7 linked regions of the Oryctolagus cuniculus genome follow. The protein of the gene in region 3 interacts with the protein of the main gene of each other region in a pairwise test. Links are inferred from orthologs where the notes say so. Each region holds a gene or a part of one and is shown on either strand. Other genes may lie near its edges. The genes, in order: USP15, CDCA7L, CARD9, DUSP13B, KIAA0408, MEOX2 and CWF19L2.

Region 1 (3,500 bases), on a different chromosome or scaffold from region 3:
TGAAGCCAGGAGCCAGGAGCCATAAGCTTCTTCCAGGTCTCCCACGTGGGTACAGGGGCCCAAGGACTTAGGCCATCTTCCAGGGCTTTCCCAGGCACATTAGCAGGGAGCTTGATAGGAAGTGGAACAGCTGGGACATGAACTGGCGTCCATATGGGATGCTGGTGCTGTAGGCAGAGGCTTAACTCGCTTCACCACAGCCCTGGCCTGAAAAAGTATATTTTTTTAATTTGGTATTTGGAAAGTCTCTAAGAGATACTGGTCCTTGCTAATTGTTATAACTACTAAAAAACTAAAAAAATAGAAACTGGATCCAATAGTGCCTGATGTTTTCTAAAAGATAACAAAAAACATTGAGTAAGTTTGAAAACAGAGTTGTTCAATATTTATGAAGTACAATCAAAACTTACTTGATAGGAAAATCAACTAAAGTATCTAACTTGTCTCTCATGTATCGACTGTAAGAAAATCGCTTGAGATGTACCACAAGTACTGGAGGCAGGGACCATAAATCCAATTTCTTTGTTGCTTGCTGATGTTCTTTACAGTTTGGACAATACCTAAAAAATGAAAAGAAATATTTAAAGTTTGATAGAGGTACAAACAAACAGTACTTATTAAAGAGAACAACAGATGAAAAAAATGTTTGAAAAGTTCTGTATTTTTTTGGTAAGCAATTAGCATATGCTAAATAGGTATTAGGCTGAAATCAACTCCTGTTAACATTTTTATCTTCAATATGCTTTCCAAACGGGTTTAAATATAACTAATATGCAAATAAATATTCAAAGAAATTATGAGGGCTAGACTATTTACCTTTTAGTATGCTTGTTAAAAAGATATGTATGTATTACAAATCTGTGCTAAAATACAGACACTAGAAAACTTTAAAACTTCTGGGCACTAAGAAAATAATACCAAAAAATGCAAGGATATTTTAAAAAGTCACAGAAAATGGAATTAAAGACAAGTTTATTTTGGTCCCTTCCTTCTGAATTCTGAAGTCCAAGCCAATTATTTTTTCATGATATGATTTCCATGAATTTTTTGAAATATTGTAGTATAGCGTAATTTTCCTAAAAACTTTCAAAAATGATTACAAAGCTAAAAATTCTTGGAAAAAAGTAACTAAAACTAATTTTTTTTGACAGGCAGAGTTAGACAGTGAGAGAGAGAGAGACAGAGAGAAAGGTCCTCCATCCGCTGGTTCACCGCCCAAATAGATGCCATGGCCGGCGCACTGCGCCGATCCAAAGCCAGGAACCAGATACCCACTCCCCATCTGATGTGGGTGCAGGGCCCAAGCACTTGGGCCATCCTCCACTGCCTTCCCGGGCCAAAGCAGAGAGCTGGACTGGAAGAGGAGAAACTGGGACAGAATCCGGCGCCCCAACTGGCACTAGAACCCAGGGTGCCAGCACTGCAGGCGGAGGATTAGCTAAGCGAGCCACGGCACCGGCTACTAAAACTAATTATTAATAGTAAATGGCTATTATGAAAGATATAGTAATGAGATTAAAGCTTAACTCTGTAATAACACTTTTAAAGGTATAACCATCTCTCTTTATACACTATAGCTTATTATAAAGAAATGCTTATAATTTAAAATATTTAAGAAAAATGATTAGAAACAAATATTCAACTCTGCCTCTTACCAGGGATCTTCAGCACCTAGCTTTTCTTTTGTTGTAAAAAGCTCAATGCAATCTTTTAATTTCACAAAGGGTTTTTTAGGAGGTTTATATTCCACACTTTCATGTTTTTCGAAATCCTAAAGAGAAGTATTTCTTGAGTTAAGAGAACAAATGAAACAAAACTCATTTTAGTGATACCATCTTACTATGAATAATAATGAAAACTCCTAAACTTTCTCAAAAGAATTATAAATCTTAGGTCAACTTAGATTTATTCCACAGATCTAAATAACTCCTGTGTATAACTATCTGGATGACTGAAACATGTCAACAGAATCCATGTTCAAAACCAACTCTGTACCTTAAGAAAAAAAGATCTTTTTGCAAAGCCTTTTGTATTTCATGATTTTTCTTAATGGTAAAATAAACATATTTGGTAGATAGAACTAAGTGAATATAGTAAAACAATATGATTAGCTATGGTAATCAAAATAAAATAAAGAGGTAAGAAGGAGTGAGTAATGACTTACCTCAGCAGCATTTTCATCAAAATATCTTTTTTTCAATTCAGGATCCCAATCCAAAGCAAGAAAAGATCTTTCTAAGGTGAAAAAATATTTTTTCTTTAAATTTACTATTACTTGGTGTTAAAATTAGTATATCTTAATGTTAGGATATGTGTCATAGTAAATAACAGCAATCTTTTCTAATAACACTAGCACTGGGTGATTAAGGCAAATAGCTGTTTCCAAGCTACTGAGCTACTGAAATATTTTCAGAGTTTAAAAAAAGATAAAAACTTAAGCATGAGTTCAATTTCCATTTAAGAAACACTGACATGCATTTTACTTAGATAAGAAGGCCTTTCGTTTAACAGTTTATTTTTTTATTTTTTATTTTTTTATTTTTATTTTTATTTTTTTTTTTTTTTTGACAGGCAGAGTGGACAGTGAGAGAGAGAGACAGAGAGAGAAAGGTCTTCCTTTTACCATTGGTTCACCCTCCAATGGCCGCCGCTGCAGCCGGCGCACCACGCTGATCCGATGGCAGGAGCCAGGATCCAGGTGCTTTTCCTGGTCTCCCATGGGGTGCAGGGCCCAAGCACCTGGGCCATCCTCCACTGCACTCCTGGCCATAGCAGAGGGCTGGCCTGGAAGAGGGGCAACCGGGACAGAATCCGGCGCCCCGACCGGGACTAGAACCCGGTGTGCCGGCGCCGCAAGGTGGAGGATTAGCCTATTGAGCCACGGCGCCGGCCTCGTTTAACAGTTTAGACAATGCATTTTTCATGACAGGCATGAATTTCGTGGCTTTTTCACTGAAAAAAAATCATCTCTAAGTAATTTTTCAGAAATACTTACCGTCTAGCCTAAGCTGCCGATCATCAAATCTTATATGCCTGGTATCATCTTTGATGTAGTTGATATCAGTATTGCCTAAGTTGTTGAACTGGAATGTAAACAATCGTTTTTTGTGTCCCGTGAGTTGACCTTTGCAAGTATCTTCAGTACATAATCCATTTTCAGAATCATTATCTCCTCCAACTGAATCTTCAGACTGACTGTTTTCATTCTCTGAGGGAAGTTCTTGATCCTGGCTGGACTCATCATCTGGCTCATCTGTTTCCATTTCACCTATTTTAGATATTACAAATTTAAAAAGAAACCCAATGTTCCAATTTTAAGTTTTTTGCAAATATTTTTAAGTTCATTAATGTTCATCTTCATATGTTTTTCTCTGAGGCAATAATCTTAGTGAAAAGATTTTTATAAGTTAACAGGAAAGTCTTACTTGGTGAGCCTTCCTCATGTATGCCATTTGGGCCATTCCCATTAATGTTTTGGTCCTTACAGCAGTGTAGGGATC
Region 2 (3,500 bases), on a different chromosome or scaffold from region 3:
TTACCCACTACACCAGAGCACCGGCCCCTATTTTATTTATTTTGAAAGGCAGAGTAACAGAGAGAGAGGGGGACACAGAGAGATCTTCTGTCCATTCGTTCACTCCCCAAATGGCCACAACGCATGGGGCTGGGCCAGGCTGAAACCAGGAACCTGGAACTCTACAGGCCTCCCACATGGGTGGCAGGGGCCCAGGCACGTGAGGTCCTCTGCTGCCTTCTCAGATGCCTCTGGAATTTGCCACTCTCATCTCTTCCCTCCCTTCCCTCCACCGTCCCCCCCCCCCCCCCCAGCTGTAAGGTCTTGGCTGCAGCACCTGCTCAGGGTGCCCAGGGCCTTCTGGGTAATCATGGCTCAGGGTGCCCAGGGCCTTCTGGGTAACCATGGCCCACGGGGGAAAGTCAGGAGTTGGACAGTCCCAGTCCTGACGCGATTGTAACAGTGCCCGGTTTTCCTCTTCTGACCCCAAAACAGATCCCTAAGGAGGTGGCTGACATCTTCAACGCCCCCAGCGACGAGGAGGAGGAGGAGTTCCTGGGCTTTGCAGATGAGGTTCCCATGGAAACCCTCTCGCCAGAGGGGAGCCGTGATAGCTTTGACTCCCTGGCGTCCCCGGCGCAGGTAGGATGCTGCTTCCTCCCCAGGCCTGAGCCTGGGGGCCGAGACGCCTCGGTTTGTGCGTGGCTTGCGGTCACTGAGGCCGCTTAGCCGGTGGGCGTCCCATCGCCAAAACTTTGCGCCTCTTGGTTTCTTCCCGCCCATGGTATTATTGTTGTTGTTGTTGTTATTAATAGAGAACCCTCATGTGATCAGATCTTTGCTCTGCTCCCTGCTGTATTCAGAACCCCCCCACCATGGCTGGCAGGGAGTGGGCCCCGCCTTTGCCGTGGCCGCCCGCGGGGTGCAGCAGGTGCTCCTGCCTCTTTGCAGCTGCTGGGCCAGTGTCATTCTCGGATCGCTTTGATCTGTAGCAAGCACAAGTTACAGTTCTGCCGGGGCTCACTTCCTGGAGGTTTGTCTCGTGCCGCAGCCATCAGAATACCTCCCTTTCCGCGGTGTTTCTGTGCCTTGCCACTGCCCTGACCGCGGCCGCTGTGTGGAGGCCCACCCTGGCTGCTGCTGGCCGCAGCAGGAAGGGAAGCAGTTAGTGTGATGAGGGGAAGGGGCTGCCTGACTGCTTGTTGGTGACCCTGGCCTCGTCTCGTCTCTAAGTGCAGATGCTAGGATCCGCCTCCAGAGCCTGGCCCATCTCTAAGTGCAGATGCTAGGATCCGTCTCCAGAGCCTGGCCCATCTCCTAAGTGCAGATGCTAGGAGTCTGTCTCCAGACCCTGGCCCATCTCCTAAGTGCAGATGCTAGGATCCGTCTCCAGACCCTGGCCCATCTCCTAAGTGCAGATGCTAGGAGTCTGTCTCCAGACCCTGGCCCGTCTCTAAGTGCAGATGCTAGGATCCATCTCCAGAACCTGGCCCATCTCTAAGTGCAGATGCTAAGATCCATCTCCAGACCCTGGCCCTGGCCACGGCCCCAGGCCCCCTGCATCCCACTCTGCCGCTGCTCTTCCCGCATACCTCGGCTCTTGCTCCTGCCACAGTGCCTCTCTGCGGCCCGCTGGGGGAGCCTGCTCCTGTGTGCAGAGGGACCTGCCTGCCCCGTCCTCTGTCTGCCAGCTGGCCAGCTGGCTTTCCTGGTTCCCCGTCTTTAGCTCCATCTTTCACTGCCCTTGATCCATCCTTCCTCCTCGTCCTCCTCCTCCTGTCTTGGCGATTCCCATCCGGGGGGGAGGAAACTTCTGCCGTGTTTCGCACACTGATGCCTTCCCCCACTTCGCTCTGCATCTGCTGGAGCCCTCGTCCTTCCCACCAGGGTCCCGTGTAGGCCTGGGCTCTGGCCACGCCCCCTCTCCTGCCAATCGTCTTCAGAGCAGGTCAGGCAGCAGGGGGGGTGGAGCCTGGGGCATGGACCCTGGGGGCCTTCGGAGCCAGCAGAGAACCTGGCCTGCCCTGGGCCTTAAGAGACAGAGCAGCTGTTGGGAGACTGCTGACTTGGTCACACGTGCCCTTTATGGTGCCCAGTGTGACCGCAGCACCCTCAGCCGGCCTATGGCAGTGTGCATGGGGAGCAGGGAGCCCGGCCAGGGTTGGAGGCCAGCGTGCAGCGAGGCTGGCCGCAGGAGAGCTTCGCCTCTGTGGGGAAAGGAAGATAAATGACAGCGCAGGCTTGGGTTTAGGACAACTGCTGAGTTTTTCTCCCGTGTCGATCAGGCCAGCAAAGATGTTGATTCCTCCCGGGCTGCCGGCTGCCTGCTGAGGCCAGCACTGAGCACAGCGGGAGCTAGGAGGACTGGGAGATCGGGGCTCCCTGCTGTTCCGGGGCCCCTGGCATTCAGTGGTCCGCTCTGGGTGGTTAATGCAGTTTCCATACAGACCCCATTGCCCTGCAGGTACCTGGCGACTTTAGCCAGGGCCGGGCCCTGAGTCCACACCCTCACGCTGTGTTCTCACAGCTCAGAGCCGCTGCAGGGACTTGGAGATGGTGCCCACCCTGGGCTCCCCGACCACACTTTGAATCTCACGTTACAGAAACTTCCCTTTTGTGGGTGCATCCCCCCCCCCAAAAAAAAAACAGCTGCACCACTGCTATCAATAAAGGAACAGAGTAATCTAGAATGGAGCAAACTCTTGCAGTTACCCACAGTCATTCATAAGAGACATTTTCAAGCTTAAAAAACGGTACATCTGGCCGGCGCCGTGGCTCACTAGGCTAATCTTCTGCCTTGCGGCGCCGGCACACCAGGTTCTAGTCCTGGTCGGGGCACCGGATTCTGTCCCGGTTGCCCCTCTTCCAGGCCAGCTCTCTGCTGTGGCCAGGGAGTGCAGTGGAGGATGGCCCAGGTGCTTGGGCCCTGCACCCCATGGGAGACCAGGAAAAGCACCTGGCTCCTGCCATCGGATCAGCGCTGTGTGCCAGCCGCAGCGACCATTGGAGGGAGAACCAACGGCAAAGGAAGACCTTTCTCTCTGTCTCTCTCTCTCTCATTGTCCACTCTGCCTGTCAAAAAAAAAAAAAAAAAAGGTACATCCAGGGCAGGAGGCACGAGGACCCCGGCTGGAGCCCTGGGGAGTGGTTGTGGGCTTGCAGGGGGCCACTCTGGGGGGGCTTCCCCAAAGTCTGCAGGTTTTCCTCTGCTTTCTTTGGAGCACTCTTAGGAGAGCTGGGTTTCCTCCTTTGTGGTATTGCAGAAGAAAGGAGTTACAGGGAGGGAGGCGAGAGACAGAGATCCATCTTCCACCCACTGGTTCACACCCAGTATGGGGTGCCGGCACTGCAGGCGGCGGCTTAACCTGTTACACCACGACGCGGGCCGCACAAAGATTTTTCCTTTCTTTTTAAAGGTTTATTCACTTATTTGTAAGGTACCATTACAGAAAGAGGGAGAGAGAGAGAATCTTTGATCTGCTGGTTTACTCTTCAAATGGCTGCAATGGCTGGGGCTGGGC
Region 3 (2,781 bases):
GACGGAGCCCCTGGGGCTGGCCTCAGCCTGGCCCAGCCCCGGGTGTTGCAGGCAGTGGGGGCGAACCAGATGGAAGAGCTGCCACTGCCCGCAAATAAGCAAAGCTTAAGAACTGGCACTGTGGCGCAGCGGTTAAAGCCTGCAGGGCGGCATCCCACATGGGCGCCGGTTCTTGTCCCGGCTGCTCCACTTGCGATCCAGCTCTGTGATGTGGCCTGGGAAAGCAGTGGAGGATGGACCAAGGCCTTGGGCCCTGCACCCGCGTGGGAGACCTGGAGGAGGCTCCTGGCTTCGGATCAATGCAGCTCTGGCCATTGCGGCCATCTGGGCAGTGAACCAGCAGATGGAAGACCTCTCTACCTCTCTCTCTCTCTCTACCTCTCAAAGAGATAAAATCTCAAAAACAAGGAGCATGATGGTCTGTGCTGTGTGAGACGCCCGCCTGTCCCCACTGGGGGCCGGCCAGCCGTGGGACACCGACACACAGAGGGAACAGGGCCACGGGCAGGGGCAGGGCAGAGTCTGGGCCCATCAGCGCCCCCGCGGCCGGGACTTGATCCATTTTTGTCCCTATTGGGCCACCCAGAGGCAGCCAGAGGTCCCGCCTACCAGCCCTGCCGCTGCCTGCCTCCGAGTCCCGGCCGCTCTTCTTCTTTGTGTGTGTGTGTGTGTGTGTGCAAGTCCTCCTCCGCCCCCAGGGCCCCCCCCCCAGGTGCTGGTTTCTGTGTTAGAGCAGCTCCCTGAGGGTGCATCGTGGCCGAGGGGCGCACCGAGGGAGACCCCGAGAGCGGGGAGGGCACTGGGCCCCCACACACCTGGTCCCGCTCCAGGGCCACCTCCTCCATCTGCTGCAGCACGGCCTCCATGCGCTCCTTGTAGAGCCGGGCGTCCTTGCGCAGGGCCTGGCACTGCAGGTCCAACACCTCCTTCTCCTCCGCGCACTGTGGGGACGGCCGCTCAGCGCCCCGCGGGGAGGGCGCCCGGCCCCCAGGGCCCCGCCTCCTACCCGGGCGCGGAGGGCCTCGGCCTGGCGCAGCTCCTTGCGCAGGGAGAAGACGGTGCCGGCCTGCTCCTGGTGGTCACGCAGCACCTGCCGCCACTCCTCCTCCAGCACCTGGACGTAGGGGCTGCTCCGCTCCCGCGTCCCCTGCTGGACACAGAGCGGCCGTCCCGCGCGGCTCCGCCCCCGCCCGCCCCCGCCCGCCCGGCGCCCGGCGCCCACCCGCCCCCGCCCGCCCGGCGCCCGGCGCCCCCACCTGCGCCGCGGCCTCCAGGTCCTGCACGCGCGCCTCCAGCTGGGCCTTCTGCTGCTGCAGCTCCCACAGCAGCTCCTGGCTCGGCCGCTGCTCCATGGCGCGCCGCAGCCGCAGCGTGTGCTTGCGCTCCACCGTGCAGTCCTCCTCCGCCCGCAGGAGGCTGTGCCGGAGCCCGTCCACCTGCACGCGGCTGCCGGTCAGCCCGCCCCCGGGCCAGCAGCCGGGCCCCAGGCCTGCGTTCCCCACCCCCGGGCCGGGCAGAAGGGTCCCCAGCATGGCTTGCGGCCCCCGCCGTCCCCCAAGCCAGGCAGTGGGGCAACCAGCCTGTGGCCCTCGACCCCTGCCCACCAGGCCCACCCCAGGCCGGGCAGCGGGGTCCTAGGCCTGCATTCCCCACCCCCCAGACTGGGCAACGGGGTCCCATGCCTGGTTCATAGCCCCTGTCCCCCCAAGTCCACCCAGGCCAGGCAGTGGGGTCCCAGGCCTGCAGCCCCCACCCCCCAGGCCAGGCAGTGGGGTCCCAGGCCCGGCTCCTGGCCCCTGCCCCCAAGGCCCACCCCAAGCCGGGCAGTGGGGCACCCAGCCTGTGGCCCTCGACCCCTGCCCACCAGGCCCACCCCAGGCCGGGCAGCGGGGTCCTAGGCCTGCAGCCCCCACCCCCACGCCAGGCAGTGGGGTCCCAGGCCTGCAGCCCCCACCCCCAGGCCAGGCAGTGGGGTTCCAGGCCCGGCTCCTGACCCCTGCCCCCCAGGCCCACCCCAGGCCAGGCAGTGGGGTCCCAGGCCTGCAGCCCCCACCCCCACGCCAGGCAGTGGGGTCCCAGGCCTGCAGCCCCCACCCCCAGGCCAGGCAGTGGGGTCCCAGGCCCGGCTCCTGGCCCCTGCCCCCAAGGCCCACCCCAGGCCGGGCAATTTGGTCCCAGGCCCACCCCAGGCTGGACAGTGGGGTCCCAGGCCCACCCCAGGCCAGGCAGTGGGGTCCCAGGCCCGGCTCCTGGCCCCTGCCTCCAGGCCCACCCCAGGCCGGGCAGTGGGGTCCCAGGCCCGGCTCCTGGCCCCTGCCCCCCAGGCCCACCCCAGGCCGGGCAGTGGGGTCCCAGGCCCACCCCAGGCTGGACAATGGGGTCCCAGGCCCACCCCAGGCCAGGCAGTGGGGTCCCAGGCCCGGCTCCTGGCCCCTGCCTCCAGGCCCACCCCAGGCCGGGCAGTGGGGTCCCAGGCCCGGCTCCTGGCCCCTGCCCCCCAGGCCCACCCCAGGCCAGGCAGTGGGGTCCCAGGCCCGGCTCCTGGCCCCTGCCTCCAGGCCCACCCCAGGCCGGGAAGTGGGGTCCCAGGCCCGGCTCCTGGCCCCTGCCTCCAGGCCCACCCCAGGCGGGGCAGTGGGGTCCGAGGCCCGGCTCCTGGCCCCTGCCCCCCAGGCCCACCCCAGGCGGGGCAGTGGGGTCCCAGGCCCACCCCAGGCTGGACAATGGGGTCCCAGGCCCACCCCAGGCCGGGCAGTGGGGTCCCAGGCCCGGCTCCTGACC
Region 4 (3,931 bases), on a different chromosome or scaffold from region 3:
GCTAGGCCACCCACATGTTCTCCCTGAGTCCCCATGGAACCCTTACAGAGCCGATGACACCATCATCCCCACTTTACAGGTGAGCAAACAGACTTAGGTTAAGCACTGTACCCAGGGCCACACAGCCAATAGGAGTGGCAACCAGCTTTCAAGCCTGGTCCTTTGGATTCTCCTGTGGTTTGTTTATACTCCGATCTCTGACCTTATTGGGTCCCCCAACCCAGCGCCCAGCCCTGCCCAACAGGAGCCCTGGCCCTCATTTCCCAGCACGCACCCATCTCCAAAACAGCACTCACCCACCTGGGGGGGTACCCGGCGCAGGCTGTGCTCTCCTCTGACAGGCAGTTTGCGGTGCCGGCTTCCAGCCGCCTGTCTCTGCACACTTGATGCTGTTTCTATTTTTTGATTTGAGATGAACTGTAAAGCATGCTGTCTATTCCCTGCTTCCCCCCCGCCCCGGCCACTCCCAGTGTGTCCACTGGTCCACGGCACGGTCAGTGCCAAGCCCAGCCGGGTCCTTCCCCTCTCTGCTCCCCGAGGTCTGGGGCGGTGGAAGAGGGAGCAGCCGTGGCCACGGGCTGGCATGAAGGCTTAGACTCCCCTCCCTCTCTCTTCTCCTGCCCCTCTCCTCCCGCGGACTCGGGTTCCTGGAACTTTGGGGGGCCGCTGAGAGGGTGGCCCACTCCCACCTGTGGGGACTGAAGACTGTGGCTGACAAGCGGTGCAGGCAACAGGAAGAAGCAGACGGCTCGAGGGCGGATCCCACGCTGGGCTCTTACTGTCTTACAGGCATCCACCTGGATCAGGGCCTCCAGCGACAGCAGTAGGGCCAAGACCAGGGTGGCCAAGTGGCAGAGCCTCGGGACAGGAAGTAAGGCTGGACGCTGGGAGAGAGAAGAGCTCTGTATTATAGGCAGGTGTACCACGGGATACCTTGGCTAGGACTTGTTGGGGCAGGGCCAAGAGCTGTGTGAGGTGGAGTAGGTGCAGGTTCCGGGAGAGATGAAGCAGGCCTAGAGAGAAACCTCACAGCTCCTCCGTCCTGCACAGGCTGTGTGGCTGCACAGGCTGTGCACTGCACAACTCCTGGGGGCTCCATTTGCAAAGACAGTTTGGTGGATGGCTCCCCCGTGAATTTTGTTACGCTGCCACCCTTCCCAGGTGACTTCCTGGAAGCCGCCAGCTTGAAGGGAAAGATGCTAAGGTCAGAGGTGAGGATGTTTAAGGGCCCCCAGCTGGGGAAGGTTAATTGGGCATTATCAGAGACTGCTGCTCTGCTAGGCTTCCGAAACCTGTCTTGAAGAGAGCAGGCTGGGACCATGCCATTCCCATGGGAGAGCATGTCCGCCTCTCCCTCTGCCCCCACACTCAGAGCTCCATGTGACACTTCCTCACCAGCGTGGCCTTAGACCTAATCTCCACCCTAGCTGTAACCCTGTCTCTCCTGTCACACTCACCCAGTCCTTCCCTAACCCTCCTCTCCAAGATGCTCATCCTCCAGCCGGCCTATGGAAAGGCCTCTGTGATGCCTGCGGGTCTCCCCTTCAGCTGGCTGGGCTGCCGCACGGGCCATGTATTCAGAGAAACAAACAAGCCAGGGAAGGATTCAGGCCTTGTCTGGGGAGCCCTGGGGCAGAGCAGAAAGCAGTGCCCTGTAGCTCCTGGGGGTGCCCAGGCCAATCAGCCACCTGCAGCTGGCAGTCCCTCCATGTCAGTGGGTGCTGGGCATGCAGTAACTTCCGTAAAATCCTGGGGTCTCCACCCCAAGAACAGACACCCTTGCTGCCTCCCACCTGGGACTGATTCTAGAGAAACAAGCAGCAGGACCTCTGTGACCATCGGTGGGCTGGGTACCTGAGAAGCGGGGTTCCTGCTGGGGAAGCTCAGCTTGTCCCACCCAGCATCTGGGAAGAGGAGACATTGTGCCTAGCAAGGGCTTGGGAGAGGAGCTCTAGGGGGCCCACTCCCCTTGTGTGACTTCAGGACCCCTGCTGTTGCTGCCCAGCACTGGACACACAGCAATGGCAGCAGCACATTTGGGAACCTGCTCGTGGGAATGGTGGGGCTGGGCTGGGTGACGCTCAGCAGAGCCCAGAATGTGCTTTCCCTGGAGCTGTGACTGGGGGTGGGGGTGGGGGACAGGTTGTAGAGGTGCAGGCCATGCAGCTGGCAGAGCTGCTGGCTGGAGGGGATGTGAGGGAGCCCCCAGGCTCGGTGCCCAGGCAGGGCAGACAGCCCCAGGAGAGGTGGGAAGCCTTACCACTTCCATCTTGCACCGCCTATACCTTTCCTTCCTTTTGTGTTCTCTCAAGAGTACGGGTCGGGCTGGGAGAGATGGGACAGGCTGCCTAGGCTGGGCCCTGGTGAGGCTTTGGGTGGGTAAGGGGAGCCAGCAACTTGGGGTATGGACCAGCCCCCTCACACCCTCACTGGCAGCCACACACTGCCCTGAGCACCGCCGCCCAGGTCCCCTGCCCAGCCCCTCACCTGGCCTTTCCCATCCAGGCCCCAGTGCTGTCCTGGTCTATACTACCTGCCCAAGCTCTCACCTGCCACCTCGATGTCAACAGCCCCAGCTTTGCCCCAGCCACTCCTCACCTGGTTCCTCAGCTGCGGCCGGCACCCCGCAGCTTCTGGTCCAGCTGGCAGAGCTGATGGAGGAAGCCTCGGTTGGGGAAGACCCATCGATGTTCCCTCACGGTGATCACGGCCTGGCGCAGGGAGAGCCGCTGGCACAGCATGAGGTAGGCCAGGACGAGCGTGGCAGAACGGCTCACGCCCACCACACAGTGCACCAGGACCTTGGCTGAGGGAGACATCTGGTGAAAGACCCTTTCCTGCCAGCTGCCCCCCGAGGCTGGGTTTCTTTTCCCAGCTTTGCCTTGGGTGCACACCTGTGAACCCAGACAAGTCAGTCGACCTTTGTGGGCTTTACTTTTCTGATCTGTCAGATGGGTAGACTGACACCTGCTGTGCCATGCAGTCCAACTTCCTCGCATGGCCCTTTAGGAGCTCGGCAGCCTTACCTCAGAGGCCCCCACGGTCCTAGCCACCCTCAGCTGTAGGATGGGGAGGCGACTTCCAGTTCCTTGGACAGCTCAGCTGACCACATGCCATTCCAACCACCTGGAAAACATGCCCACTGACCCTGCTCTGCTGTTTCTCCATCCCTCAGATGTCACCTGAGACCTGGCTTCCTCCCACAGGTCTACTGGGCTACTCAAAGTGTCGCTTGAATCACAGAGCAGATCATCACTTTTTGCATGGGTCTCCATGAACGATTCTCTGCTTGAGCATACACCTGCCCTTCAAACGTGCCTCTGGGGCTGGCGCTGTGGCACAGTGAGTTAAACCACTGCCTGTGATGGCAGCATCCCATGTCAGGGCGCCAGTTCAAGTCCTGGCTGCTCCAGTTCCAATCCAGCTCCCTGCTAATGTGCCTAGGAAGGCAGCAGAAGATGGCCCAAGTACTTGGACCCATCACCCACCTTGGAGACCTGGATGGAGTTCCAGGCTCCTGAATTCGCCTCGTACAGTCTAGGCCATTGCAGCCATTTGGCGAGTAGTTCAGCAGATGGACGATCCCCCCCCCCCCCCCTTTCTCTCTCTCTCTCTGGCTCTCCCTCTCTCTCTGTCACTTTGCTTTTCAAATAAAATACATCTCGAGGGATGGGGGGGGGGGGAAGGAGCACTTGTCAAACTTATCCCTACACAGGAATAACCGTTGTGCTGCTTCACCTCTGACTGTCCTTCCCCCCGATGCGTGATGGCGTATTCCGTGGGGCAGGGCTTCAAGTCTAGACTCCCGGAATTCAGCTCAGGGCCCAGCATACAGCAGATCCTCAGCAAATAGCTAGTGAGGGAATGCATGAAAAGCAAGAGTGTCGAAGGGCTCTGGGCGTTAAAAAGGGACCGGAACTGTAGCCTGTCA
Region 5 (3,500 bases), on a different chromosome or scaffold from region 3:
GTCTTCCCTTGTGTCTCAGGAATCCCTGGCAGTGAAGGCCTTCCCTGGAAAAGGGTTTTCTCGACCTGCTAGACCAGCAAATCGCCGCCTCCCATCCAGATGGGCATCCAGATCACCGTCAGCACCCCCAGCCTTACGGAGAACTGCCAACAGTTGCACCATTTCTCTTCAATCTGAAGCAAAGATGGTCTAAGTCTCTGGCCTGGATTGTTAGATTACAAAAGCTCTAGTCCCAGTGGCCAAACAGCATTATGAGTGTTTACAGACAGTCCTGTTTTCTACTGTATCTTTCAAGATCACTGGGAGGAGTAATTTAAATCTTAACCTTCCATCAGTCTTCAGTGTTTTTAATCTGTGGAACAGTTATCTTCCTGTGTTTTGATTTCTTAGACCAGAATTTTTAATGTCACCCTCATCAATTTCCCAATATGATTTCAGTTGAAACAATGTGTACAGATATTGTATATTCTTTCTTGCAAGTGGCAGAAAGCAAGGTTATGTGCATGACCATTTGTTTGTAGGTGCATGTGTTGTCATAGGAAGTATCCTAGTATGTGTTTAGATAACAAAACCGTATGTGCTAGTGTTCACTTTGAAATTATAACATGTATGCCTATATATTCTTTGTGTTTATTTAAAAGTTTTGAAAATATACAGTACTGTTTATATTTTGTAGACCTTTTAATAGGTATCCACTTAAGTTATTTGAGGTATACATATATTAATTAACCACTTCTATGGCTGTCAACTTTATTGAAAAATAATCATTATACACACGTCTAACACTGGTAGTTTTCTAAATACGAGTCATAGTTGCTTAATCCATGTGAGGATGAACTAACAATATTGATCTCCTTTTTTAATCTTTCAAGTAAGTATGTCACAAACCTAACAGATCGACCTTCTGAAATAGCATAAATATTCATAAAAGCTTTTATGTATCATTTGGTAGTCTAGTTTGGCTCTGACAATGTATTGATCCTCAGAGCTGGTTTCATGAGACTGCCTTATAAATGACATGACGAAATAATTTATTTTGTCAATCTCAGTGACAAATATTCCTTAAAGGGGATGCAAACAGAAATTAAACTATGTTGAAGTTCTGCTTTTTGTTAAAATTGTGGTAAGCTTTTAGTTTTGTTGCTTTATCTAGAGTTATACATGACTAGAGGTAAGTTGTTCATTTTTTCCTTTTTCTAAACTTTTCCCTAACATTAAGAGATAAAAGACTAATTCACTGTTTTTACTAACAAGGAAAGCAGGAATAATATTTCACTGAGCGCTGAACTGTAATATACTTCTTATAGTGTGCTACAAAAAAAAAAGCCTTAAACTAAACTTTGGCATCCATTGTAGCATAAGAATCAGAAATGTATATTTTGGCATTTTCTACAATTTAAATACAGTGAACACCTAAGATCCATGTTCTCACTGATATAAATAAGAATGATGAGGTGCTTGGAATTCTACACAGAAGATTTTAGAGGCAACTTTGCTCTTCACTGTCTATATAATACAAAAATAATTATGTTTTATTATTATCAGTAATTCTATGTAATTTTTATTTTACTGCCAGAAAAGGTTAAGAATTTCTTATTCCAAATGTATTCAAAGAGCCTTCTCTTTATTCTGACCATTTAGAGAATCTCACTTCATTCTATACCATGCCCAAAGGTAAAGTAAACAATTATAAAATAGCAAACTGCCTTAAAAGGCTAAAGACTGCAGCATGGTGATGGCCAGATTCATACTTTACCACAAGGTGACCTTCTATTGTGAAGCTAAAATAATCTTCTAGGATAAGATTTTGGATTGGATGGTAAGTAAAGGCTATCAATCCACAAGTAATCTAGAAATCAATTGAAATCACTGTCATTATATGCTTTTAAAGCAGAGGGGTGAAAACACTGGGAAGGTGGTATTCTGGGTAATAAAAAGATGGACCTGTTAGGAAAATGTTGCTGCAGTGGTGCCAAGACACCATCCATCACTGTATTCCAGGCAGTTTTGTATGATCTGTGGCTCCTACCTTTACCTACAAGTCAGAATATTGAGGATTTCTTTTAAAAATGAAATTATTGCTCTTGTTGCATAATTACTAATGCAAAATTTCAAAGGGTAGGAACTAGGACTCTCTTAAAACAAAGCAAAATACTTGATGACCAGGATGATTTGCAAGAAATAACACTGATATCTGAATGAAAAGATAACCTTGGGTAATCTCTTTCCTTCCCTGGGACTTGCCATTCCTACCTGTAAATTAGAAGAGTTATATTGTCAGGCTTCCTAGTTTTAAGCCACTAACCACTTGAATGAGCCAGTGGGACACATTTTAATATCTTATGATGACAAATCAGAATATTAGCCCTAAAACATTTAGTATCTAGTCCAACCCCTTGGTTATACAACTGAAGAAATTAAATCAGCTTACTTGAATGTTCTGCTTTTTATTTAACATGTTTTATAAATTTTTATGGAAAAATCTATCGGGTAAATGGAAGTTATCCTTGGAAAATATTTTTTGATGTATTGTGATTTTTAACTGGTCGTTTTTCTACTTTGGATGGACATTTTCTTCCCAACAACATATCCTTCATTGTGACACCATTTTTGGATTTAAATATTGGAGTAGAAACTCTTATAATGATAGATGTGTTCCTTAGAAGGCATTTGGGGGTTGGGAGTCTTACATTATTTCAACAGGAGATTATTGGCTAATCTCAGAAAGGAATAACAATGAGGCAGAGAAGAGTCCTGTGTGAGTGTATGTATGTGCCTGTCTGTGCCATCCTAACTTAAGCTCTTTCTGTTGCCCTTATGTCCCTAACACAAAAAATATAAATGATGCTTTGTATAGTTCACTTTCTCAAAACTTACCATGAGTTTTATTGACTTTTATTTAGACAATGAGAATGATCATTTTTCATTTTACAGATTTTTCCATAAAACATAATTCACTTCTACACAGATTGATTTTTACAAGGCTCCTTGTCATCCTGAGGAAACACCTCAACCTTCAAGATTATCTGCTTCCTTAAAAAGATCTTTAGAATTATTTTAGGCACATTTGCTGATAATGAAATCTCCTTCACTCATTGGAAGCTATTAAATAAAATAAGTGTGGAAATACCTGCTGTGGCATTTTTATGCATTCAGAAATTCTGTTTTTTCCTCAAAGTTGAGAGTCTTATGTGTAAATTCAAATACGTACACAGTTTAATCTAGCCTTCCCAAAAATGTCTCTAAACAGTAGAATCTGAGCTAAATCTGCCTGACTTTCTGCTCCTGGCCACATCTAACCCCGTATGAATATAGTTTCTCACACACTGACATTCTGTCTCCTATCTGTGTCCAGGTAGCATCTGATAGAGTTGATTAATATGGTTTTTTGAAAAGTGCATTCACTTTTGAAAATTTCCATTTGCATGATTGTTTACAATCATGATTACCCATCTTATCCAGAATATGTGTTCCTTCAAAAAAATGGACTTCATAAAGCA
Region 6 (2,841 bases), on a different chromosome or scaffold from region 3:
TGACACAAAATGTTTTAAGTTAATATAATAATTGACTTCTGATACCTGTGGTGTCCATTCCAATGAAGATTCTGATTTGCTATTTAGCTCATAGTAACATCAAGGACTCTGGATAGTGTGACTTTAGAGCAACTACTGCATCGATTCACATATGTTAAACATACATTTTAAAATATATGACTACTTTACTTATTCATTGTGGTGAATAATGTTACCTTTTCCCTTACTTTTATCTTTGATTTGTAAAGCATGCAAAGACATTCATTTGCCATATTCTTCAAATTAAGAAAATGGTTTACAGTATGATGATGTTTAGATTCTCTTTGATCACCCAAGGATTGATTTTTTTTTTCTTGCCATAATAAATCTACAAATGAAAACCTGTGATTCATTAATGATCTGGATGTGAATTAGCACAAGAGCAGATGAGTCTGGGGCTCTCTTAGATATGAATATTAAAATCTGTAGAAATTAAGGAAATCACAATGGGTAGACCAAAATTATTTACAAAGGATCATTTATTAAACATTTTTTACAAAATACAAAGATGGTTGTTCTGCAAGAATACATCACATATTAAAAATAACGTGTTTTTACTGAATTTAATTTGAAGATATTCAGAATTGTTTTGTCTATCTCCTTGGGGAGCCCATTTGGCTTTGCTCCTTTTCTGACACCATTGCTAAGAAGGAAGAAACATTTTCTTGTTAATTAAGTCATATTCATAACAGCTAAAATTTTACAGAAATAAAATCAGACAGTGTCTGCCTCAAAAAAGCTCTTTCCACAAAGTAACTGATTTGCCTATGGTCCTATTTTTTTTTTCAAGCTACAAGATAGGAAAAATCGAGGAGGAGCTAGGTAAGTTGTATAATAATGTATTAGCAGCAGTTGATAGTAAATGCAACATAAGATTTGTTTTGTCTGTGGTACAAGAATATGTCGTATCAGACTCTACTGTATTTTTCTCTACTTGTACACAAGTAAGCACATACGGACTGTCTCGGAATGACAAATGCATAAAAAGGCAGGAAGCTGGCCTGGTTGGCATTATCAGTGCCTATTTTCATCAGCTAATATGAATGTATTGCTAAAATTAGTGAAGACAGGAAAATGACTTAAGGATAATATATACAGAGTTAAAATACATCCTTTTTAAAAATCCACTTGAGTGATCTCAGGCACTTTGGCTGTTCAGGATAAAAGGTTTTATGTTTTATTCTTGATAGCAATTTCTCAGTGCAAGCAAAAGCAAATACCTGCCCACAGTCATAAACATGAACTCGTACATCTGGAATGTTTAAAGCAAGTTCATCTTCAATGTCTTCACTCTGGAGGCATCTTGTGTAGAAATGTGTCATAATTTGCTCTTGGTAGCCATTTAATTTTTCAGTGCAAGCAAAAGCAAACATACCTGCTCACTGTCATACACACAACCAAATATCTCTGGAATATTCGAAGCAAATTCACCTTCTGATCTTCATCATGGAAGCATCTTGGATAATTGGCACTTAGTGTAAACCCTCTATAAATCATGCAAAACAGAAACACGATGCCTGAATTTAATAATATTAAAAATCACGGCCATGGCCATCTCTCTGTGTAAACGCTGTTGGGTAAGGCTTGCCATCACGACGCTTCTTTCCTGAGAATGGAGCTGGTCCTGTCTGTGTGGATCATAAGTGTGCATGCTCTGAGCTGTGGTCGCTGTCGTGGCTGTCTTCGTTGGCCAGAGAGTCCCCTGTTTGCTGGAGTGTGGCCGCACCGATCCCCGACAGCTCTGAAGGGAGCAGGGTTCCTTTCTTCACGTTCACCAGTTCCTTTTCTCGGGCGGCAGCGCCCTGCTGGCCCCCTTTTACCCTCTTCCACTTCATCCGCCTGTTCTGGAACCACACTTTGACCTTGGACAAAGAAAGAGAACACACAAAGCAAAACAGAACATTAAATTCGAGTGCTTTCTCCTTTTGGCCTACCTAGGAGGAACAGATTCTCAAAGGCTTACACGAAGACACCATGTAGGAGGCGTAAATACAAAAATAAATCCATCCTGAGTTAAATCAGGTTGGTATTCATGATGATAATTTATAAACATTCAGAAGATGCATGCAGATGGTTACCCTTCATATTTTACAACAAAGGGAATTCATTGTAGTATTACCTCCCAGTTTTTTTTTTCCTTGGGGATTTAAAATTAAAAATCACAACAATAAAAAGTAGACAAGAAAGGACTTATCATTCAAGATGTCTCCAAGGTATTTGGCTCTGCTCTTGTACTGGTGCCCTGATAAGCATGGGAAGGGACATACCTGGTTATGTAGCCAGGAGCTTCATCAATGGGTTGAATGTTATGTGCACATTCATCTTAACACACTAATGTGAAAAACTGTTTTCCAAGGTTTTATCAGCTTAGTTTCCCTATTCATTCCAGGGCATAAAAGTTCAAGTAACCCACATCTATGCCAGCATTTGGATTTACCAGGTTCGACTTTTTTTTCCAACACGATGACAATAAATGTTATCTCTATGTGCTTTTATTTTGTCTTTCCTGTTTTCTAATGAAGTGAAGCAACTTTTAAGAGTTTAGGATCCAGAGCTGGTGTTGTGGCTCAGTGGGTTAGACTGCTGCCTGCGACACCACCGTGTCCCATGTTGGAACACTAGGAGTCCTGGCTGCTCTGTGTCCAATTCACTCCCTGCTTCTGCACCTGGAAAGTGCTGGCATTTGAGGAGTGAACCAGTGTATGGAAGGCCTCTCTCTCTCTCTTTCTCATAGAAAAATGAATTTTGTTTTTAAAAAAGCTAATAGCCCATTATTCTATTCTATGAAATACCTCCATGTCT
Region 7 (3,500 bases), about 140 Mb from region 3:
AAATAAATCTTAAAAAAAAAAAAATTACCAGCTAGCAAACACAATTGGCCTAATCAAATTTACACTGTCCAACCCTTTGGAATTATCCACTTTTGTTGTTGTATTGAGCCCTTGCTCTCCACATTTCCTTATTTTCCCTTTCAAATGCCCAAACATCTCTGTACAAGTTGAAATTGAGCTCAGCAATTTCCTCTGCTATTTGTAATTACTGACTAAAATCTACTTTCAAAAGTTTAACTAATACCCAGCTATGTTTCCCTTTAACAACATGCTGGCAAAAACTTAGTTTCTGAAACTATGTGGTCCATATTGTAGATTATGGCAATTCAACTTGGAAGAAAACCCTATGAAGATCATACATGGCAGACCATTTATCCCTAAATATCTCTAGCTTGTCACTCGATAAGCACAACCTCTGTTCCCTGAAAACATACACAAAGGATTTGGCCTACTTTATTTTCCTAAGTCTTCTCATCCTGAACCAGCTAGAGACACAGCTAACTAAGCACTCTCATCCTTTGGCCCCCAAAGGTAAATATATAAACACATCCTATTTCAAAGCCTGAGATGTTATTATCTATGAAAAGACCAAACAAAGGTAACAGACTCTTAAGTCTCTTTTCCCTTATGTTTATAATACCTCTCTTTCCTGCTTTTCCTTCTAATTTTCCAACACACAGCCTTCTTTACTTCCTTTTTTGGCTCTCCAGTGCTAGTTTTCACCTTTAGTTTCCCTAAGTATTTAATCCATTCTAATGGCTCCAACTAGCAATGTTTCCCAAATCATATTCCTGTTTTCTGTTTTTTGGAATCCAAGGTTCACATTTTCAATATTTTCTGGCCTTCTCCAAGTCCACGTCTCCCAGACATTTTCGTGTCATACTTTCTTAAGGTCTTCATATGCTTTAAGTTTCAATACACAATTCCTTCAAAAAAACTTTCTGACAAATAGCTGCTTTAGTTAATTTTAGTATATACTTACAGATGAACTATCAGATGACTCCTTGCTCTTCTCATATTTCTCTTTCTTGCTCTTTTTTTTCTTCTCTTTCTTTACTTTTTTTGAATGCTTGTCTTTTTTTTTCTTTCTCTTCACAGAGTGTTCCTATAAATAATTATTTTCAACAGGTTAAAAAAGCAACCTAGTTTTATCTTCCTTAAAAGGAACCATTTTTAGAGAAAAAAAATTTATGTTCCAAAAGCTTTATAAATCTTTCATGAGAGGAACAATATCACCAAATAAATAAAATATTCCAAGAAGCTTTAAGATATTTTCTATAGTGGCCAGGGTTGTGGCACAGCAGGTTAAGCCAGATCCTGTGACTGGCATCCCACATTAGAAGGCCAGGTGGAATCCCAGCTCTCTTGCTTCCAGTCCACCTCCCTGCTAATGCACCTGGGAAGGCAGTCAATGATGGCCCAAATGGTTAGACTCCTGACACCCACCTGTGTAGAAGACCCATTAGAGTTCCTGGCTGATGGCTTCAGCCAAGCTCAATCCTGGATGTTGCAGCCATTTGGGGAGTAAACCAGTGTATAGAGACAGATCACTCAATCTCTCCTTGATACTCTGCTTTTCAAATAAATAAATACATAAATCTTCCTTTAAAATACCTTCAATAGCATATGTACTACTCACAAACCATATGACTAAGAATTTTTAAAGATTTGTTTATTTATTTGAAAGGCAGAGTTACTGAGAGGCAGATATAGAGAATCGTCCATCCACTGGTTCACTCCCTAGATGGCCACAACAGTCAGGACTGGGCCAGGCCTAAGCCAGGAGCCAGGAGCTTTTTCCAGGTCTCCCACATGGGTGCGGGGACCTAAGGACTTCGGCCATCTTCCTCTGCTATCCCAGGCTCATTAGCAGGGAGCTGGATAGGAAGTGAGCAGCCAAGACTTAAACCAGTGCCCATATGGGATGTCAGCACCACAAGTAGCAGCTTTACCTACCACGCCACAGCACCAGCCCCATAGCTAAGATTTTTTAACAGAAAAATTATAAGGAAAAGTTTGGTTTTAATTTATTTTTATATTCATGTGTCATACAGATATAATCAAACATATAGGCATACATCTACACACACAGAGTAACTTTCAATGGTACAAAAAAAACTCATACAACATTATGAGGTCATAAAAAACATAACAAGATAGCTTGAATTAAAATTGTTGGAAGAGGCTGGGGAGGAGGAATGAGAAAGGAAGAGATATTAATAAAAGGGTATAAAGTTTCAGTTAGACTGAAAGAATACTTTTTAGTGACCTATCATATTTCATGGTGACTACAGTTAATAACAATCTATAGTATATTTCAAAATTGCTATAAGAATAGATTTTAACATTCTCACCACAAAACAATAGTAAATTGGAAAGGTAATGTATATGTTGTTTCATTCAATCTTTCTAAAACATATAATGTAAATAAAGTCATTATAGTATGCCCCACAAACATGCACAATTATTTGTCACATAAAGAATAAAATAATGTAGGAGAGATCAGCGCTGTTCCCAGCAGGTTAACTAGCCACCTGCTTCAGCCAGGTTTTGGCCTGGCCAAGCCCTGGTTGTGGCAGCCATTTGAGGAGTAAAGCAGCAGATAAAAGATCTCTCGCTCTCTGTTTCCCCTTCTCTCTCCATAACTCTTTCAAATAAATAAATAAATCCTAAAAAAAAAAAAAAAATTGTAGGAAAAAAAAACAAAGCTTGAGACCTAGAAAAATAAATAAAGGTACAAAGGTTAAAATGCATAATTTCTTTTTTTTAAAGATTTATTTATTTATTTGAAGGTATGAACTACACACAGAGAGAGGAGAGGCAGGGAGAGAGAGAGAGGTCTTCCATCTGATGGTTCACTCCGCAGATGGCCACAACGGCCAGAGCTGTGCCAATCCGAAGCCAGGAACCAGGAGCTTCTTCTGGGTCTCCCACACGAGTGCAGGGGTCCAAGGATTTGGGCCATCTTCCACTGCTTTCCCAGGCCATAGCAGAGAGCTGGATCGGAAGAAGAGCAGCCGGGACTAGAACCGGTACCCATATAGGATGCCAGCGCTACAAGCCAGGGTGTTAACCCGCTGCACCACAGCACCAGCCCCCAAGATGCACAATTTCTTAAATCCACAAACTTGCCACAAGTGAGCCAGAAATTTGGAGTTAAAACTGCTACCAGCCAACTCTAGGAACAAAAATCTTTCAATGTCATAATATCCAAAATACTACACATTACTTCTACCTAAGCAATAAAACTATCCAGTAGTGCCAACTCTGTTATATTCATTCTGTAACTTACAAAAATTTCTATAAAATTTTTCTTCCAATGTTAACTTAAATAATAAGTGCAAAAAAAGACAAAAGACAGTACTGACCTTTGAGAATTGTTCAATTCGTTCATTTACATCCGGTAGCATCCATGTATCCTCACCCCGAAGTCGTTTAAGTTCTTTACGCCTTTCTTCCTTTTCAAAGTTAGCTTTAGCCTACAACAAGAAAGACAACTG

The links.
Region 1: the proteins of CARD9 (region 3) and USP15 interact in binary tests that used the Homo sapiens proteins (3 or more experiments, as listed by UniProt). The two-hybrid records come from large-scale screens. The link is inferred for Oryctolagus cuniculus from reciprocal best matches to the Homo sapiens genes CARD9 and USP15.
Region 2: the proteins of CARD9 (region 3) and CDCA7L interact in binary tests that used the Homo sapiens proteins (3 or more experiments, as listed by UniProt). The link is inferred for Oryctolagus cuniculus from reciprocal best matches to the Homo sapiens genes CARD9 and CDCA7L.
Region 4: the proteins of CARD9 (region 3) and DUSP13B interact in binary tests that used the Homo sapiens proteins (3 or more experiments, as listed by UniProt). The two-hybrid records come from large-scale screens. The link is inferred for Oryctolagus cuniculus from reciprocal best matches to the Homo sapiens genes CARD9 and DUSP13B.
Region 5: the proteins of CARD9 (region 3) and KIAA0408 interact in a two-hybrid assay, tested with the Homo sapiens proteins (2 studies listed by BioGRID and IntAct). The two-hybrid records come from large-scale screens. The link is inferred for Oryctolagus cuniculus from reciprocal best matches to the Homo sapiens genes CARD9 and KIAA0408.
Region 6: the proteins of CARD9 (region 3) and MEOX2 interact in binary tests that used the Homo sapiens proteins (3 or more experiments, as listed by UniProt). The two-hybrid records come from large-scale screens. The link is inferred for Oryctolagus cuniculus from reciprocal best matches to the Homo sapiens genes CARD9 and MEOX2.
Region 7: the proteins of CARD9 (region 3) and CWF19L2 interact in binary tests that used the Homo sapiens proteins (3 or more experiments, as listed by UniProt). The two-hybrid records come from large-scale screens. The link is inferred for Oryctolagus cuniculus from reciprocal best matches to the Homo sapiens genes CARD9 and CWF19L2.

The regions. Positions count from the first base shown.
Region 1 is NC_091442.1:64,682,102-64,685,601, reverse strand, and holds part of USP15 (ubiquitin carboxyl-terminal hydrolase 15), read right to left. Parts: coding exon 3,426-3,500; intron 3,269-3,425; coding exon 2,996-3,268; intron 2,236-2,995; coding exon 2,165-2,235; intron 1,788-2,164; exon of another isoform or gene 1,772-1,787; coding exon 1,656-1,771; intron 561-1,655; coding exon 411-560; intron 1-410. UniProt on the Homo sapiens protein: Hydrolase that removes conjugated ubiquitin from target proteins and regulates various pathways such as the TGF-beta receptor signaling, NF-kappa-B and RNF41/NRDP1-PRKN pathways.
Region 2 is NC_091447.1:13,939,636-13,943,135, reverse strand, and holds part of CDCA7L (cell division cycle-associated 7-like protein), read left to right. Parts: intron 1-474; coding exon 475-621; intron 622-3,500. UniProt on the Homo sapiens protein: Plays a role in transcriptional regulation as a repressor that inhibits monoamine oxidase A (MAOA) activity and gene expression by binding to the promoter.
Region 3 is NC_091432.1:236,667,521-236,670,301, reverse strand, and holds part of CARD9 (caspase recruitment domain-containing protein 9), read right to left. Parts: intron 1,437-2,781; coding exon 1,257-1,436; intron 1,151-1,256; coding exon 1,007-1,150; coding exon of another isoform or gene 942-1,006; coding exon 816-941; intron 1-815. UniProt on the Homo sapiens protein: Adapter protein that plays a key role in innate immune response against fungi by forming signaling complexes downstream of C-type lectin receptors.
Region 4 is NC_091446.1:66,157,306-66,161,236, forward strand, and holds the start of DUSP13B (dual specificity protein phosphatase 13B), read right to left. Parts: upstream 2,801-3,931; 5' UTR 2,745-2,800; coding exon of another isoform or gene 2,686-2,744; coding exon 2,599-2,685; exon of another isoform or gene 2,506-2,598; intron 885-2,505; coding exon 690-884; intron 396-689; coding exon 301-395; exon of another isoform or gene 297-300; intron 80-296; coding exon of another isoform or gene 1-79. Other genes in the region: SAMD8 (sphingomyelin synthase-related protein 1), read left to right, coding at 15-79, 3,207-3,342. UniProt on the Homo sapiens protein: Dual specificity phosphatase that dephosphorylates MAPK8/JNK and MAPK14/p38, but not MAPK1/ERK2, in vitro. Exhibits intrinsic phosphatase activity towards both phospho-seryl/threonyl and -tyrosyl residues, with similar specific activities in vitro.
Region 5 is NC_091436.1:42,226,768-42,230,267, forward strand, and holds the end of KIAA0408 (uncharacterized protein KIAA0408 homolog), read left to right. Parts: intron 1-19; coding exon 20-193; 3' UTR 194-3,129; downstream 3,130-3,500.
Region 6 is NC_091447.1:7,213,695-7,216,535, forward strand, and holds the end of MEOX2 (homeobox protein MOX-2), read right to left. Parts: intron 1,902-2,841; coding exon 1,677-1,901; 3' UTR 501-1,676; downstream 1-500. UniProt on the Homo sapiens protein: Mesodermal transcription factor that plays a key role in somitogenesis and somitogenesis and limb muscle differentiation. Required during limb development for normal appendicular muscle formation and for the normal regulation of myogenic genes.
Region 7 is NC_091432.1:99,252,735-99,256,234, forward strand, and holds part of CWF19L2 (CWF19-like protein 2), read right to left. Parts: intron 3,480-3,500; coding exon 3,369-3,479; intron 1,106-3,368; coding exon 983-1,105; intron 1-982.